Caenorhabditis elegans: one gene and its partners. The protein of the gene in region 1 interacts with the protein of each later gene in a pairwise test. Each region holds a gene or a part of one and is shown on either strand. Other genes may lie near its edges.

The links.
Region 2: the proteins of dyf-17 (region 1) and ifb-2 interact in a two-hybrid assay, tested with the Caenorhabditis elegans proteins (one large-scale study listed by BioGRID).
Region 3: the proteins of dyf-17 (region 1) and git-1 interact in a two-hybrid assay, tested with the Caenorhabditis elegans proteins (one large-scale study listed by BioGRID).

The regions. Positions count from the first base shown.
Region 1 is NC_003283.11:19,125,440-19,129,194, forward strand, and holds the start of dyf-17 (Verprolin), read left to right. Parts: upstream 1-2,085; 5' UTR 2,086-2,090; coding exon 2,091-2,183; intron 2,184-2,890; coding exon 2,891-2,965; intron 2,966-3,038; coding exon 3,039-3,208; intron 3,209-3,527; coding exon 3,528-3,670; intron 3,671-3,755.
Region 2 is NC_003280.10:5,748,472-5,752,226, reverse strand, and holds the start of ifb-2 (Intermediate filament protein ifb-2), read right to left. Parts: upstream 2,028-3,755; coding exon 1,964-2,027; intron 986-1,963; coding exon 792-985; intron 506-791; coding exon 384-505; intron 339-383; coding exon 1-338. UniProt on the Caenorhabditis elegans protein: Cytoplasmic intermediate filaments provide mechanical strength to cells. Not essential protein.
Region 3 is NC_003284.9:10,523,090-10,526,844, reverse strand, and holds the start of git-1 (Arf-GAP domain-containing protein), read right to left. Parts: upstream 1,948-3,755; 5' UTR 1,928-1,947; coding exon 1,903-1,927; intron 1,857-1,902; coding exon 1,737-1,856; intron 1,590-1,736; coding exon 1,508-1,589; intron 1,453-1,507; coding exon 1,381-1,452; intron 1,325-1,380; coding exon 1,172-1,324; intron 1,104-1,171; coding exon 920-1,103; intron 874-919; coding exon 568-873; intron 524-567; coding exon 327-523; intron 284-326; coding exon 83-283; intron 34-82; coding exon 1-33. Other genes in the region: Membrane-bound acylglycerophosphatidylinositol O-acyltransferase mboa-7, read left to right, coding at 2,288-2,441, 2,484-2,553, 2,600-2,729, 2,980-3,118, 3,235-3,383, 3,430-3,524, 3,570-3,744.

The DNA of each region.
Region 1 (3,755 bases):
ACAAAAAATCGCAAAATTGGGTTACGGTCGGTTTAAAGGCGCATAACTCGAATAATTTTAGGAAAATTGTGAATTTTCGGGATTTTTTTACTTTTTACCGTTAAAAGTCAAGAAAAAACAATAAAAATCGGCGATTTTTTGCAAAAAGAAAAGAGTTACTGTAGGTTTAAAGGCGCATAACTCGAAAAATTTGAGAAAAAGCGATTTTTTTTTGTTTTTTTTTCTTCGCATTTTCTTATTAATTTTTAATATTATTACTATTCCAACCTTATTATACATTTGCACAAAAATTATTCCAAAACCTCTAAAATTGGTAAAAACGGCAAAAAAAAGGTATAAGCAAGAGGCGAAAAAGGCGGGAAGAATGAAGGATTAGCCGAGGCCTTTGGGCAGGAGACACCCCCCAACGAGATAGCACACAAACATAAGAGACCGCAGACGGCCCAATCAATTCGGGCCCGAGACAGCCTCCCCGCCTCACGCGGCCTTCCTAGAGACAATGGGGAAGCCGGAGGGTGTTAGACGGGTAGACGGGCTGAGTGTGTGGGGGGGGGGGGGTACATAGTTGTTGTCTTCATGGCCTCGAGAGGAGTGTCACACATCTGCCTCGATAGCTCAGTTGGGAGAGCGCACGACTGAAGATCGTGAGGTCACCAGTTCGATCCTGGTTCGGGGCAATTCTTTTTTGTTTTTTTTTAAAATTAAAATTCAACTATACGCCTTTAAACATACCGTATTCCTGTATTCCTTTAATATTTGGCAAAAGTCGTTTTTCTCAAATTCTACTGGAAAAGCCAATCAAGCGGGCTGAAATAAACATTTTGCAACATTTTTTGCCAGCTATGCGCCTTCAAACCTACCGTAACCTTTTATTTTTGCAAAAAAATCAATTTTTCTTGTTTTGGCTCATTTTTACAGTTTTGTTCTGGATTTTTCACATGAAAAACGATAAATATCAGTGCAAAAAGCATGTTTCTACATTTTAGCCCAAAAAATTGTGCAATGCGCCTTTAAAGCTACCGTAACCTTTCAGTATTTACGAAAAATTGTTTTTTCCTTGTTTTGTGCTTAATTTTCCGGTGTTTCCCTTATATTTCACATGAAAACGTTGAAATGTTTTTCTCAACAACTTTCTCAACTTTTTGCCCAAAAATTTGTGTGATGCGCCTTTAAATCTACTGTAACCTTTTAAATTTTCGAAAAATCGATTTTTTTTCTGTTTTTGGGTTAATTTTTCTGTTTTTTCTTGATTTTTCACTGAAAATTGACAAAAAATTGAAGAAACATACAGAAAAACTAAATTTTTTGCTTTTTAACGCAAAAATTTGTGTGATGCGCCTTTAAACCTACCGTAACCTTTTAATTTAAAAAAAAAATCAATTTTTCTCAGTTTTTGGAGCAAATTTTTTGGTTTTTCCCAGATTTTTCACATGAAAAACTCTAAACCGTAGGGCAAAATCATGTTTCTCCATTTTTAGCCCAAAAAATTGTGCAATGCGCCTTTAAACCTACCGTAACCATTAAATTTTTCGGAAAATCGTTTTTTCTCTGCTGTTGGCTCAATTTTTTGGTTTTCTTTCGTTTTTTCGCAAAAAATGAACAAAAATTTCTAAAAATTGGTTGAAAATGCCAGAAAAACCTGATTTCTCAATTTTTGGCTATATGCGCCTTTAAAGCTTCCGTAACCCAATTTTAAATCGATTTTTTCGCTGAAACATTCGAAATTTCTGTTCAATATTGCCATTTTAGGCTTCTAAACAATAAATTTGTCAAAATGTGAGAGAGCTGGCTCCCCGAGAGACGCAGAGAAACGGAGACGGTCACCATGGTGACAGCTGCCTCAGTTGCACGGCCATTTTGGGATTTTTGAGCCAAAATTTTAGAATTTTGATGTATACTGTAGTTTGTAGTTTGTAGTTTGTAGTTTTTGTAGTTATGATAATATAACATGCTCAATATTTTGATTTTGGAAAAAAGTCCCGAAAAGTTTTGGAAATTTTTTTTTGCACAAAAAATTTCGTGTTTTTTTCGAAATTTTTTTTTTGAAAATTGTTTATTTTTTAACGTCAAATTATGTTTTTTAACAGGAAATGCTCCCAAAAAACGAAAAAGAAGCATTAGTCGATGTTGATGATAGGATTGCAATGTTGGAGAGGCGGCTGGACAACGCGAAGGCCGCGAGGGTAAGGACTAAAACTCTTATATCTTGAAAACCAATAGTGCTATCAAAAAGTTGCTAACTAACATAATGATCAGTATCAAATTTCCTATATTTTGTTAGTTGACAATATAATTGTATGACTAACCCGAAAAAAATTGCAATAGGAAACGTCTACGGTGTCAAAACCGTCAGGTGGCTTCTAAAGGCTGTAACTCTTTAGAGGCTAGAGCAATTTTTGCCGACTATTAAAATGATCTACACAAAATTTGCAATATATCAATAGTTAACAGCTTTTCAATATCTTTCCTAGAATCTGAGTTATGACACTTTTTAGTTTCTCTCTCTCAAATTCCAGCGCAGTACCTCAAATTTTGAGGCACAAAAAACCAGCTGTATCTCAAAAACTAGTAAAGCTACTCAAAAGTTTTCAACTAAGAAAATGTTAAGCATAAAATTTACTACAGTTTCCTAGTTAATAATTTTTTTGTATGACTAACCAGAAAAAAGTTACAAGAGAGTATCTCCACAGGGGTAAAAGCGTCGTGTGTCTTTTAGCGTTCATAACTTTTTTGCCATCATAGTTATAAAAATTTTGTCAATTGACAAAATGATCTACGCAAAATTTGCTATATGATAGTACTTTCAAATTTTCAAAAATCTTCCCTAGTTTTTGAGATACACAAGTTTTTGGAAAAATCATGCTTCTCCTTAAAAGAGTCTTTATTTTAGGATGCTTTTGTGCACCATCTACGTGGAAAATACCCGACATGGAAGCCCCCATTGCCCACAATGAGCTATCAAGAGGTTTTTATTTAAAATTTTGAAAAAAAAATTTTAATAAAAAAAAAATTGTTTTTTTCAAAATTTTTTTTTTCAGGCAGATTTTCCAAAACTCCCACACTATGCTTCAAATCACCACCGTGAGCCGTTGCTTTCCCGCTTATCAACTAGTGATTATCAATGGGATATAACTAATAATCGGAACAATCGCAGTCGGAGCATGACCCGGCTCAGCTCGAAATTTCAGCCAATGGATATTCCGACGAGGTTTTTAATATGATTTTTGGCTTAAACTGACCTAGAAAAAGATATTGACCACGGTGGGGGTTGAACCTGTGGCCTATTGACTGATAGGCAAACGTGTACCCACCTGAGCTAAAAACTCCATAGGGTTGAAAAAATCACAATTTTCAATTTTTTTTTCCAAAAAAAAAAAAAAAACTTTAAACCTTTATAACTTTGCAATGGTAACTGCTATCAAAAAGCTATAAACTAAAAAAATATAGCAAATTTTCTGCTCTACAATTTACCAGTGACCAGTTTTTACCTATCACTTCCAGTTCCCAAGTTACACCCAATTTTCCAGCGGTCCTCTCCTGGAAAGCGACATCCGTCGCTCGAAAATCCGTCTCCGTGAGATTTCCGAAGAGCTCCGAGCTATGAGAATTGATCGTATGAGCTTGAGCACAGATCAATGGCTCCAGGAACAACCGTTTCGGCAGCATAAATGTAAGTTTTTGAGGAGAAAAATTGAAAAGAAAATTGGTTAAAAAAATTTTTGTCTGGTAATTTTTCTTTTTCTAAAAAGCCTGTA
Region 2 (3,755 bases), on another chromosome or scaffold:
TCTTGAAGAACTCTCTTGTGTCGGCTGGAGCTTGAGCAAGAAGAGTGCGAAGCTCAGTGATTTCTTGAGAGTGGATTCTTCCCAAGAATTCCAGCTCAATCTTGAGGTCATCTTCCTCAGCTTGAAGGCGGCGGCGATCAACAATTGCGGCGTCAAGCTCATCCTTGGCGGCAGCCAATTGAAGATAGAGTTGATCTTGTTCAGCATAAAGTCTCTTTTCCTCGTCCAAAATGGCGGCATAGCGGGACTTGTTTGTGTCAAGCTCAGCTTGTGCTTGTGAAATAGCTCCTCCCCAAGTGGTCTTCTCACGCTCAACTTCACGACGGGCCTCTTCATATCTGAAATATTTGCCATTAGAATGGAATATGCAAATAAATTGTTACCTGTGTCTGTAGTCATTCAAATCATCTCTCAATCTGTCGACCTTAACTTCAACTCCAATAGTTCCAGAATGAGCTTCTGAGATCTCACGGCGAACTTTGACCAACGAATCGTTGAATTTGAACTACAAAACGTTGAGTTTATTATTCTGATGCAACATTATTAACCCCTCAAGATCAATTTCAATTAATTTTATTGGCAATCTTAACACACACATACACACCCATTTCCTCCAGAGCACTACTTGTCATCTTATCAGTGCCATTTTCAGTTTCTCTTTTAAATTCCTTACGCCTGCACATTTGGCAACGGGCGCTTTGTTTGAGAAGAATTGATATTATCTGATAAGAGAGAAATTGTGTCAACAACTAAAAGTGTTTCAGATTCTCCTGTAATTTCGGGGCACAAACCTTGATCTGTCCGATGTCATTTCCAAGTGATCCTCGGAGGGTGTCCAATTCAATCACAAGCTCCTTGTTACGATCCTCAAGTTGACGGACACGGCTGATGTAAACTTCAAGGCGAGAGTTCAACTGCTGCATCTCTTGCTTCTCGCGCTCGGCAGAGGCAACGAACTCCTCAGCGGCATGGCCGGCTGAGACACCTGAAATATTATGTAAACTGTGTTCCGATGTTTAAGCAGTGCTCCAAGAAGGACCATATTTTTTATTGTTATAAACTAAATTTTGTGAAAGTGTCTTATTGTGAAGGGTTTGGAAAAAGCAATACAAACTCATTTTTTAAAAATTAATTTAGTACGAATATGTAAAACAAAAGTCTGAATAAACCTCTGTTTTCCAAATTTTTTCACAATATTAAAATAGAAATTTTAAAAAATAGAGTTAGTTACAGCTAATGTTGTACTTTGAGATTTAAGATATACAATTTTCCGTGTTATATACCGTTTTTCCTATTAGTCTTGCACTCCCACTGCTTCATTTTGACAGCTCATATTAATTGTTGTAGGCTTCATCAAAATTGTTTAATTATAACAATGTAGAGTGATTTTAGTGTTGAAAATTATTTGATGAAATAATAACAATCGAGATATGATTTGTCAAAGTAATGCAAAGCAGGAGCAGAGTAAATTGGTTAAATGTGGCATATTTATTCTTTTTTTTTCACAATTTGGGCTAGCAATCAGAAAATTCCTACTTATAAGAGTGATCTATCTTGTCATAAACAATCTGATTTTTCACTGAAAAGTATTATATGCTACCATCTAGGAACAGGCCATTTTGCAGTTTGTCCCTACGCTGCAGTTCTCGTCTCAATTCTTTATTGATATCGTGAATTAAAAGTTAAGATCGAGTTTAATTTGTCGAAACTTATGGTTTTATTTAAACATCAGTTATTTTAACTTAAGCCCATAATCTAGAGAAACTGCTAGGATTAGTCGGCAATGTGTGAAAGGAGTTCACAACGGTGTCAATAAAGCCGACAAAGAGATTTGAAACAAAGAAAAAGATTGAGACAATGGAGGAGATCAATTTCAGACAAACTAGTGTCACCATATTATGGATTCCTCGGAGAAAACTCTCGAGGTCGTGTGACTGTTGGAAATTTGAAGAAAAGTGCTTACCTCCGTGTGATGAGGAGGATGTAGTTGTGGTGGTTCTGTGCATCGAATAACTAACCGCCGACATGATGAAGTCGCTAAAATTTTGAAAATAAAACAAAAGATGTTAATAACAAAAGAAGATAAAAATAAATAGAATAAGAAAACAATGTTATTTTCACACTTTCAGCAGTTAAAAAACCAACACCAATAATAAACGTTCAATCTTCAAAAAAATAAAGAGTCTTAACACCAAACCGTACAAAACGCGGAGTAGTAGGTTTGATTTTACAATGGCATTTTGAGAGAGCAAAGAAAGAGGGTTATCAGTTGGCAATGCTCGATTCCACTCTCTTTTATGGTGACTTATCAGTCCGAGTTTAGAGATGGAAAACGGAGGGGAGGGGGTGAAAAGAAGAAAAAAAGAAACTACTCTTTCTTACATTCTTTGTATTTATGAAACAAAATGACATTTGACTGGGAATGATGAGGAAGTTGACATTTGAAAAAAGGTGTTAAGAACCGCAAAGTCTGAAACTTTTTACTAGAAACTATGACGAATGAAATGTTAATAAGGTTACAACAGAACATAATCGGCAACAATGGAATATTTCAGAACTGAAACATTTTGTCTTCTAGATTCCTTTCAATTTAATTTTTAAGGATTTACAAATTTATCTGGATTTAATTGACAGAATATTTTCGCTTGTATTGTCATATTCAAAAATGTTTAATTTTAAAAATTCTAGAATTTTGAAGATGTGAAGGTTCAATCAAAATCTCTTCATCAATTCAATTCTCTCTTAAACTGTAATTCAAAAGCTACAAGTATTTCCTGAAAAAACTTTGTTTACTCTTGTTGTCTACTGAACTTGAGGTGTCTTATCTTAAAAAGACCATCTGTGTTATTTTTCACAAAAAAACAGCTACAGTAATTCCTTAAAAGTTCATCGCAATAATTTGATAACAACAAAATAGGTGAATCTTGCAACAGTGAACGAATTCCCTTGTAGGCACAAAAAACTCGAAGGTTACCTACGCGCTGTCTTGTACCTCTAGATTTTGTGCCAAATTGCAGACGAATATAACTAGGTAGGTAGGAAGACCTACCTACCGGCGGAGCGTAACTTTTCAAGTGTTCTGGTTAACATTTTATTCTGATTAAAGAGTTTTGTGAGTCATAAAACCCTTGCTAAAAAGTTCTTAAAAATTGTGCATTTTCGAAATTGAAAAAGCATCGAATTGAAACTATGATTGGAATTCCAAAATAATTCGAAACATCGCTTTAATTATTTAACCTTTAAAAAACTAAAAATCAACCACACCTCTTCTTTTTCAAATATTAAAGTCCGCGAGCTGCTAATCAGCATGAATTGGAATTTTGAAATTTTTGGAAATACAGTGTTTTGTTTTTTTAATACAATTCTTCCGTTTATGCTTCTTTCTCATTTTTGTGGTCAATTACTTTATAAAATTAGCCAAAGTATGAATACCAAAAAACAGGATGTTTAAAGAATTTTGCTTTTGGTATTCTCTACAACTCCATACATCTTGCTCAGTCCTCACGACTAGTCTTTGTACTTTCATTCAAACTTCATTTATCGTGTTCTTCATTTCGCATATTCTCTAACATTTGTTTACAGATGTGTGGCAGGCTTGGTTGGAACTGATAAAACAGCGTACTCCAATTCCTAGTAGAGCTCAAGTTTCCTTATCGTTTTTAACCGATAAAACGCGGACGCAAAAACGAAGACATTTTTGTGTTTTTGAGTGGAATGGAATGTGGTCTAAATGAGGGAGAAATGGCATTGAGTCA
Region 3 (3,755 bases), on another chromosome or scaffold:
TTGATGTTTTGGGCTTGTAAGCTATGAACTAGCCTGCAAGGAAACATAGCATAAAGAAAGTTTTTTTGTGATATCAACTCACTTTGTCAGCTCCTCATTTTGCTTTGTAAGTGTTACAACCATAGTTTCGGTACTTGAAAGTCTTTCTTTCATTTCCAATAGTTCGTCCCACACTCTGCTGCTCGATTCATCTAACGTATTAGCCTGAGAGTTGGGAACAATTCCCGAAATTGGACTGCATGATATTCCAGCTACTTCATCATAATCGGCGTATTCGCTTTTTCTGTAAGATCAAATTAAATTACACACGTCTAAGATCCACTAACTTCATAATTCTAAGTGGAGTGTCGTTTGACTTTCGCATATTCTTGGGTGGTTCGGATACTGGTGCTGGATTGTCTCCAGTGATTCTGCGCTTTTGGTCTTTGATTAAGTCTATCAGGAGAATTGTGAACTGAATTGGAGTGAATTTGGCAAGTTTCTGTCTTCTTTGGTTGCGAGCAGCTGACATTTGAGGAGTTGGCTATAAAAATATTTATAGCTTGAATGGGTTTCATAAAACTATACCGGCAAGAAAAGGTTTGTTGGCCCTTTGGCAGTTTTTGCCCATTTTGTCATGTTCCAGTTGACTTCATTTTCTCTGCGAACTGTTTCATCAAACGCATCTTCACATAGGTCAAAGAATTGACCTTTCGGGAGAACTGAGATCGCTGCTCTCGAATCATTAGTTTTTGTCAGGAATTGTTTTTCAGTGACTTCAGGAATGAAAAAGTCCTGGTTGTTCTTATGATCTGCTTTTCGATTGCACATGAAAAATGAGAAGCGATCAAAAACGTAGAAGAAGAATTCATAAATGCGATGTGAAAGTTGGCCCTGAAATGCTTAACTGAACAAGCATATTGAGAGTAAGAAAACTTACATGCCCCGCATCTCTAGCAAGAATGTATGGAAGCATTCCTTCTCTATTTGGTGCCATAATGTCAGCTCCATACAGGAAAAGAAGTTCTACTTGATTTGAATTGCCTTCTCGGGCTGCAACATGAAGTGCAGTGTCCCCAGTTTCTGGATCAGGATAGTTTACATCAGCTCCGAGAGCGATGAGTCTGAAATTTAAAAGTTTGTGTTGTTGCTATGAACTTCGTCCCTATAATGTTTTTGAAGTCACAAGCACCTTAAAGTGACATGAGCAAAATCACTGCGAGCACATGCAATGAGTTGTCGATTCAAACTATTCTCCAAATCTTCATCCTTTCCTCTTTTCGGTTGGAATGTCAGCTTCTCGTATTTTTCCTTCACAAATTGTTCTTTGATATGAGATGGGTCTCTACAAAATTGTTTTACAAAATTGTTTTACAGTTTAATTCAATAGCAAAAACTCACTGGGCCATTGGTTTCTGAAACTTTGTTGATCCCTCATATAAAGCACTTTCCCATATCATGTTGGTGTTAGATCTGAAAAAAATAATAGATAATTCCATTATTATGTTTAAACTATTCTAAAACATACGTGTTAAGAGCGTGAACAAGACGAATATGCTCCTCATCCCAAGCACTCTTGCGCAGATGACGGAGATAGCTCACTGACGGGCCTGTGAGTGTACTATTTATCGATTTTCATACAACCGGGGTCTTGGGAAAACAACGGAGAATTTGTGTAAATTTATAGATTTTATAGTCGGTGTTATTGAATAGTATTCAGAAGTTTTAATAGAAATTTAAAGTTTTTTTAAACTTACCAAGATAACTATGAAAACAGAAACATTCGGAGCAAATCACGGTTCCCTTTTTTACCGACGCCCATTCGACTTCTTTTTTGCCGCAGTCATCGCATTCCTTTTGCTCAAGTGATGTTATGACTGAAAAATATCCATTTTTTGTTGTGAAAAATACTATAAAACTTACGGTCAAGCGCCTCTGCTGTGTACATTTTTCAACCACTATTACTACCTGCAAAATATGAGAAAATTGAATGAAAAGATATATGAAAAATGACGGCAACTGTTAAAATCACACACTAATAACATAAGAAACGACTAAAGACTAGAAAAAGTGATTGTATCATTCTGCGGGGGACAAAAGTTGCAAACAAGGCCGTTTCGGATCTCATCACGCAGTGCGCACTCCAAGTGTTCGTAGTAATGCGTCCGCAAACACGTCAGCTGCGTGTTGACGCGTTTCCCCACGCAGCTGGCACATTTATCGACGTACACAGTTTATGCCATTAATTTTTTGTTCGCCAGTACGGTTTATTCTTGTAAAGTATTCGTTTTTTGTTTCAGGTAATATCATGGAAAATATCCTTGGCTTGATGTCCAAAGATGATTGGATATACACCGGATTGTTGCTTTTCTCTTTTGGAGCATCTTGTTATGTACGGAAAATTGGAAATAATATATTGGCATCTGGAGCACTCGGATTTGCTATGTCTCTTTTTATTATTGGTAATTGAAAATGACAATAAAAACCAAAATGGCATGTTGCAGGTCCAAAAATTGTATATTCACTGGGAATTTGTTCGATTGCGATTTCGATTCAACTGTTGGCTAACAAAAAGTAATATTACAAGAAAAAACGAGTAGAAACTAATTTAAACTTGCAGGAGCACACCACTCTACGTTTTCCTCACAACATTCACTTATCTGATGTTTGTTCGATTTGCGCATTACATTTTGCCTGTCAACGAAGTCGCCAGCCACACCAATGTCATTCAACTGATTATTACTTTAAGAGTAAGTTTTTTGTTTCAGAAAAGACGTGTTCATTACGGAGAGTTTGTTTTCGTAATAGTTGAAAATATTTCCTTCTTCAAAAACAGTAAAGAAAAAGCATATATATTGTTTGTGAAACAACTGCACTAAATTTCTATACTAGGTAGTGAGTTTAAATAGTGACTCATTCCTCGATGGGTCTTACAACGATTGAAATTATTTTCCAAAATAAGTGTTTTACTGGAATATTTATTTTTTGAAACTATTTCAGATAATTGGCATCACCTTTGAAGAAAATGACGCGTGGGTTCACAAAAGCGATGAGAATCCGACGAAAAGATACTTAACAGAGCTTCCTACTATTTTGGAGAAGTTTGCCTACTTTTATCATTTTTGCGGACTTTTCACGGGTTAGTTTGAGTTGACCAGAAATGTGTATTTCAGCAGCTGCTCAAATAAACTCTGCATAGTAAATTTCTAAATAGACATTTGGGAACAATATGCAATTATTATTAATTGTTTTCAGGACCATACTACACATATCAAATGCTTATTGATTCTCAAAACCCAATTCTAAAATCATGGGATCCCACACTGGAAGTGAAGTCTAGATTTGTTCGTCTCCTCTGGTCGGTTCCAGTTTTTGTGATCACGAACCACTATTTCCCACTTGATGTGCGTTTCCCAACAATGCTTTTCATTTTTAAACTTGCCCATTCAGATACTTCGATCGGATGCAATCTGGGAGGTCTCATTCTTTACTCGACTCGTCTACGCTGCTCTAATTTTTGTTGTGTTTAAAACAAGAGTATACAGGTTAGTTATTTCACTACTTTTTGTAATAGTATTAACAAATTTCAGTGCCTGGGCAATTGCGGAGTCGATTTGTGTTATTCTCGGAATCGGAATTTACCCAGCTGCTTCAAATCCAAAAATCATCATGGGACCAACGGATTTGAATGCTTTCGATAAGCTGAAAACAAGAGAAAACATTGAAATGAGCAGTGACGCAATTGTTAATTTAGATATTCCAAAAGTTTGTCCTTT